Zea mays: one gene and its partner. The protein of the gene in region 2 interacts with the protein of the main gene of each other region in a pairwise test. Links are inferred from orthologs where the notes say so. Each region holds a gene or a part of one and is shown on either strand. Other genes may lie near its edges. The genes, in order: myb-related protein 306 and Probable UDP-N-acetylglucosamine--peptide N-acetylglucosaminyltransferase SEC-like.

Region 1 (3,467 bases), on a different chromosome or scaffold from region 2:
AAATGATTCATGAATTGGATGCATCACATGCATCTTGAAATCTCTTGCAATATCTTGATCGAAAGGCCTGCTGCTTTTATTTATATCAAGCACATGGCAGAGTAATAACTCAAGTAACTTTTGGAAAAGAACCATTCAATTATTTACATTTGGATTTGCAATATGCAAGGATTTCATGAAAATTACACAAGATAATTCTACAAAAGCAAGCATCACTTAGACATGGTTGATCTGAACTACTAGGGAGTACTATAATGTTTTATTCCCCATTCGTGTAGTAGAGTAAGAATAACACGAAAAATATATAGAGCTTGATGAAGGAAAAATATTGGAGTAATATAATTGAGGATTGAGCATCTATTATAACTTCTAAATATATAGATCTTTTAATAATTTATATAAGATGTACACTTCTTTCTATCGGTCACTCTCATGCATGGTCCTTTAGGAACCTGTCATTAGTATAAGCTTACACGATCAGTTCCAATCCCTAACATCAGAGAAACAACAGCGTAAAAAAGATAAAAGAGGGAATTAAAACAAACTAGATCGACACTCAACTCGATCCATATCACCGAGAATTCAAAGAAATTTGGTTCGTTGGATTTCTGCTTCACTAGTTATTACCTAATAACTCGGCGATTATTTTTTTCCCTTTTGTTCTTGCATCTCTACTTGATTAATTTGCTTTTAGTGGTACTTGTACAGCGGCCTTGATTAAAAGAACTCACTGGGGTCCCCTAGTGGCACCACGTCGGTCATGAGCCCGTCCTCGCCGTGCCCCATGCCGTCGTCGAGGAGCCAGCTCTCCAGCATCGAGAACGCCGGCGGCGCGGCGCCCGCGCCGGCCACCTTGCTGGTCTCCGTCGAGCACTCGGGCGTCTGCGCCGCCGCGTTCGCGGGCGCTCCGCCGCTGTGGCTCGCCGACGCGGACGCCGCGCCCTCACCGGAGCACTGCGGCCGCTGCTGCGTCGTGGCCGTCGTCGACGTCGAGCCCGACGCCTCGGGCCCCTTGCCCCCTCCGCTGCCGGGGCGCAGCCACCCCTCCAGCAGCCGCGCGATGTTCTCGGCGCTAGACGCGTACGTCGTGTACCCCGGGGCGGTCGCCGGCAGAGGCTCCACCTTAGCCGGCGGCGGCGCCGAAGCCGAAGGCGAAGGTTCCAGCGAGAGCGCGTCGCGCAGAGCCTGCCGCGCCGTGTGGATGTCGGTCTGCAGCCGCCGCTCCCACTGCCCCTTGGGCACCGCCGGGCGCTTCCCTCCCGCGCCTGCGGTGGCGACGGCGCCGCCTTCCGAGGCACCTGCTGCGCCGTCGCCGTCTCCCCCGCCCCCTTCGCCGGCCTGCATCTTCTTCAGCTTCTTCTTGAGGTGCGTGTTCCAGTAGTTCTTGATGTCGTTGTCCGTCCTCTCCGGCAAGTAGGACGCTATCGCCGCCCACCTGCACGGCGGATCAACAACAAGCTCAAGCGCTCAGCACACCATCACCTCGTGTCGTGTATGATTTGTCCATTGTTGTAGGGGGTGGAAAAGAAAGGGAACAGGCTAGCTAGGCGAGGGATCATCACCGGTTGCCAAGGAGAGCCTGGAGGTGGATGATGAGCTTCTCCTCCTGGTCGGTAAAGTTGCCGCGCTTGATTCCCGGCCGGAGGTAGTTTGTCCACCGCAACCTGCAGCTCTTGCTGCACCGCATCAGCCCTGCACGCGCCGGCCCAAAATAAAATCAAGTAAGCTTGGATCACATGGATCTTGGAAGGCAATTCAGTCCACCGCCTCTCATCATATGATTCATCACGTACCGGTGTTGGTCGGCACGGCGCGCCAGTTCCCGGGGCCGTGCTCCTGGACATAGGAGACGAGCATGAGGTCCTCCTCGGGGGTCCACGGCCCTTTCTTCACTCCCACCTTGTCGCAGCACGGCGGCCTCCCCATGCCACCGCCTCGTCGTTTTCGGCTCCGGCGCGGCCGGCGGGCTGCTACTCTTGAGCGCGGTGGTTGTTGGTGAGCTCGATCGCTTGCTCAGAGATTAAAAGCACCGATCGACCGATTCGGTGCAGACGAGTGGGGAGGTAAAAGGGGGGTGGGGGCAGGATGCATATATATACACGCACAGCGCGATGGAGCTTTATAGCAACAAGTGAAGAGAAGGCAATTGAACACAGTTTGACCCTGGTAAGATTGCTGAGCTAATAATCAACGGCGACGTGACATGTGTTACATCCACATGCCCTCATGGGCACAGCGGGGGCCCGGGACAGAGGCCAACCTCGCAATGGCCTGTCTCAGGTCTGAACCCGATCGACGGGTTTGGTAGCAAAACCTGGAATTGTTTTTATTTGCTTTTCATGGATATGTTTTTTTATGGTCCATTACAATTAAATGAGTTATGTGCATATTTTTCTCTTGACATGAGTGGCAGGATGCACGGCGTAATGAACTTGAAATAAATCGGTGTGTGTACACAGCTTGGTAGGATGCTAGTGAATACAAATCGTTTTTTTTCTTGCAATAATAGTTGTGTACACATCTTGCTATAGTACAGTAAAGATGTGAACATGTGGTACCACTACCGGAATCGACGGCTTTGCCGAGTGCCTGAAACACTCGGTAAAGCCTGAAAAACACTCGGCAATAAAAACATTCGGCAAAGGATTTGCCGAGTGTCGTACTCGGCAAAGATGGCTCGGTACACATTACATCGGCAAAGCCTTCTTTGCCGAGTACTTTTTCTCGGGCACTCGGCAAAGACTTTGTCGAGTGCCAGGAAGTACTCGGCAAAGAAAAGCCACCGTTACGGCGCCGGGGTGACGGAGACGATGTCTTTGCCCAGTGTCCTAGGTGACACTCGGCAAAGGAGTTACCTTTGCCGAGTGTCTGCCGGCCAGCACTCGGCAAAGAATCCGTCAGTGGGTCCCCATGTCAGGTTCTTTGCCGAGTGCTTTATATGGCACTCGGCAAAGTGTGTTTCTTTGCCGAGTGTCAGGGCCACTACTCGGCAAAGAACCTATACCGGTGCCCAGGTCTTGGTTCTTTGCCGAGTGCTATGGTCCTAACACTCGTCAAAGTGACCGGTACACACCTTTTTATTTGTTTTTCCTATTTTATCCAAACAAACAAAAGACATTTCACAGATATCACATATATACATCACAGATCATCACAGACATAAATATCCAACACAAACATTAATATACAAACATAAGTTCAGAAGTTCTCAACACAAACAATATCAACACAAGTTCAGAAGTATGAACACATAAGTCTAAAGGTCTGACATAAGTATTCAACATAAGTTTTGTAGTCTAAACACTAAAAACATAACTCTCATTGAGGTGGGCGGTTGGACTGGTGCTGTGTTAGGCTGGGCGAACCATGAGGGTTGTTAGATGCCGCCGCAGATTGGCCCTGCACAAAGAAGAGATTGCATGTGTTATACCAGATGAATTACCAGCATCTAACTACAATTTTAATAC
Region 2 (3,828 bases):
AATTTCATTTATTTTTATAAAGGGCACCTTTATTTGCCTTCTAATAATTTCTTCAACATCTCGAAACATGCCATCTCTGTTTTCCCAGTCACAGACACACTGCAGTAATGCAAAGAAAACGATGCACATTAGTAGGCTGACCATCCCTATTAAAAGGTCAGTTGCTTCAAATCACTGGACCAAACCTTCAACGGTACAGGATTACAAAAGGCAGAAAAGATGAGAAAGCAGAGACAATAATCCGATAAGAGCCTTATTATGTTTAACCTAATGCAGGTAGCAACCTAGCAGGTTTTGTAGGTCAACATAATACTAAGCCATCAGAGATTTATATGATATGTGAACACTGTTAAATCATAATTGAGCTGTACTTTGCATCAATGTCCTTGAATGTTTGCACACATCTGCTGTAGTATTAATTTTCATAAGTAGCAGACACAACATAAAGATGAATATGTTGTAACATATCTTTTATTTACTCAAAGTTTACAGTCTTATTCAAATCTTTATATCACAAGTGCGTTAAAAGGGTAGAGAAAAATTGCAAGGTACCTGTAGAGTATGCAGGAGATTACAGGTTGCCTCAGGAAAATCAGGACGCAGCCGGAGAGCCTGCTTGTAGCTAATTATAGCCGTTTCTACATGCCCACTGCAAAAAGATTACATTTACCAATATTATAAACAGAAATAAAAAATTCTGCCAGAAATTAAATGCATTATATTAACACTGCATAGGCTTAAGATTCATAGAATACCTGTCCTTGTATGCTGAGGCCAAGTTGGCATGGGCTTCTGGCATGTTTGGCCTGATTGTTGCTGCCTGAACATAATCCTGAATTGCTTCATTAACTCTGCCAATCTCTTTGAATGTGTTCCCTCTATTAACTAGTGCATCAGCTGCTGTAGGATCTATACGGAGTACTTCAGTGTAACATGTGATAGCATCAGCATAGTTTCCCTGGTGCATACAACAAAATAGAGAAATCAGAGAGAGAGAAAGAACAGGTATTAGGTGTTGGATATTGTTCAAGCAATCATTTAATTTGAACATTAGAACAGGAACTTTGTCCTACAACTACAACATGATCAGACAAAATGAAGGGAAGAAAACCACCTGTTGCTTGTATATCACAGCCAAGTTGTTAAGTGGGGAAGATAATCCAGATGTCACAGATATAGCTGCTTTGTAAAATGAAGTAGCAGCGCTTATCATGTTCCTGCAGTGTATTTTTTTTGTCATCATGAGCTCACTTGCATCTTTGTTAAGTCAGATAAATTTTTATTTCCTTTAATATTAAGAATATGTGCACATAAGAATCTCACCACTCCATGTATATGTTTCCTAAATTAGTAAGGGCTTGCGGGTGGTTTGCTTGCAGTGCAAGGCAGGACTGCACAAATACAGCTAGATCACAACCTGAGCTACATGTAAACAAGTCAAACCAATAGCAGGAAAACATACTCTGTAGCAGTTGATTGCTTCTTCTACTCTTCCAGCATCTTTAAGTGCGTTGCCCTACAAAGATAAAAATTGTAAACTAGTTGTTCAATTTATACATAAAAATAGTTGAAAAATGTGGATCAGTGACTAACCATGTTGTTGTATGCTTCAATAAACTGTGGGTCGTAGACTATAGCTTGATTGTAACAACGAATTGCCATATCAAGCTGGCCTTGCTCATAGTAAATAGTAGCAAGATTACCTGCATGAAAATGTTCCCCTACCTTTGTATTACGAGGTATACTAAGGCTCTACTTTGAAGGTAAAGAAAGGACCATTCTCTTGTAAGCTTGTTCGCATCTCACCCGAGATGAGTATCTAAATGAATGAACTCGAAGGATAACCTTTAATCAGTATTACTTTTATTTTTTGGGCTAAAAGTTAAGTTCTAAAGAAAATAATATATATATATATATATATATATATATATATATATATATATATATATATATATATATATATATACTCTGGTACAGAAAGGCCAGGGTTTGGCAAAGAAAAAAGAATCAAATCTCACCATAAGCCATAGCATAGTCAGGACGTGCCTGCAGTGCACGTTGATAACACATAATGGCATCTTGAGGCATTCCCAAAGCCTGGAGAACCAAAAATATATAAGATCCAGTTTCCCTACAAAAGCGAAGTTATCCCTGCATTCTCTTGCAGGATACTTGTGTCACAACCGATAGACTTACCTTATAAACATTCCCTTGATTAAGATATGCATCAGCGAAAGATGGCTTAAGCTTAACAGCTTCCTGCAAGTTTCAAGAGAAGGTGGAAACATTCGCCATCAGCATTACAAGCAGGATGCTCAAAAGAAGGAATGCTTTATTATTCTCTTTGAGCATAATAAGCAGCAAAAGGGCCTCTAGTTGAGTTGGTTAGGTGGTCTGAGTAGCACTCCTCAGGTCCTGAGTTCGACTCCTCGTGGGAGCGAATTTCAGGCTAGGGTTAAAAAAAATCCCCATGTCTGTTGCATTACCAAAGCACAGGTCTATGGCCCGGCTTTGGTCACGGTCGTTCTCACATGACCTACGGTGTTGCTGTGTATAGGTGGGACAACAAGGGTTTAGGGTTTTCTCGACCTGCGTGAGGTCTTCTTAATACAATGCCCAGGGGTTGCCTTACCCCCCCCCCCAGTCGAGTTTTTGAGAGCATAATAAGCAGGCGCTATAGGAAAATATGCATGTTTGATCAAATGAAGAGAATGATACAACACCGGGTGAAAATCTGGGTGCATAGGTAATAAGTGGATCAAAATAAGCCTCAGTGGAGTTTTATTTTTCAAGTTTAAATTCCCTTCATTAGTCATTACAATGAGAAAGCACAATTTTGGTAGATTTGCAAGACACACAAGAGCTATGCAGCAAAAAAATAATCATTGAAGGAATATCCAAATCTCAAAACCAAAACATGACACTAGAAAGTGACAGGACAATTTAGCCCAAAATAAACCATCATGCAATGACAAATACATGAAGTAACTTTCATCTTCCCTAGATTCGTAAATAAAATGATCAACGACCTTCATATACACAAAAAATCCAGTTCAGAACAAACTAAGGGTACCTCAAAAAACTATGAAACATAGCATAAGTGACATCAAGTACTCAATCCAAAATATGAAGTGTGATTTGGCTCGGGGTGGTCTTCAAGATCACATTTATACCACTCATTTCTTTTATAATACATCATTTGTAGAAATAAATAACAGAGATCCAGATCTCAAAACCAAAATATGGCGCTAGGAAGTGACAGAAAGACAATTCAGCCCTACATAAATCGTGACACGACAAATGCATGAAACGACTTCCATTTTCCTAGATTCCATGGAAATAAAATGATTTACGACCTTCACACGCACCACAAAAAATCCAATTCAGGACATAGGGACCTCGATAAACAACGACATAAGTGACTTAAGGTACTCCATCCCAAAATATATAGGCCCTGTTTGTTTCGGCTTCTGGCAGCTTCTGGCCACCAAAAGCTGCTGTGAACTGCCAAACGCTCAGCTTTTCAGCCAGCTTCTATAAAATTCGTTGGGGCAAAAACCATCCAAAATCAACATAAACACATAATCAATTGAGTCGTTGTAATAGTAGGAATCCGTCACTTTCTAGATCCTGAGCCATATGAACAACTTTATCTTCCTCCTCACGTAATCGTAATGATACCCAGATTCTTCCCACAGCCAGATTCTCCCCACAGCCAGATTTTTAGAAAAGCTGGTCAGAAAAAAGCTGAACCAAACAGGCCCATAGCGCGGTTTGACTTGGTGTGGTCTTATCACACTTCAAGCATTCATATTTCCTTACAGTATA

What was found.
Region 1: the proteins of Probable UDP-N-acetylglucosamine--peptide N-acetylglucosaminyltransferase SEC-like (region 2) and myb-related protein 306 interact in binary tests that used the Arabidopsis thaliana proteins (3 or more experiments, as listed by UniProt). The link is inferred for Zea mays from reciprocal best matches to the Arabidopsis thaliana genes SEC and MYB30.

The regions. Positions count from the first base shown.
Region 1 is NC_050097.1:186,383,288-186,386,754, forward strand, and holds myb-related protein 306, read right to left. Parts: upstream 2,096-3,467; 5' UTR 1,927-2,095; coding exon 1,794-1,926; intron 1,693-1,793; coding exon 1,563-1,692; intron 1,436-1,562; coding exon 718-1,435; 3' UTR 656-717; downstream 1-655.
Region 2 is NC_050100.1:164,679,743-164,683,570, forward strand, and holds part of Probable UDP-N-acetylglucosamine--peptide N-acetylglucosaminyltransferase SEC-like, read right to left. Parts: intron 2,260-3,828; coding exon 2,197-2,259; intron 2,098-2,196; coding exon 2,019-2,097; intron 1,722-2,018; coding exon of another isoform or gene 1,704-1,721; coding exon 1,594-1,703; intron 1,517-1,593; coding exon 1,463-1,516; intron 1,392-1,462; coding exon 1,324-1,391; intron 1,218-1,323; coding exon 1,115-1,217; intron 959-1,114; coding exon 756-958; intron 650-755; coding exon 553-649; intron 100-552; coding exon 28-99; intron 1-27.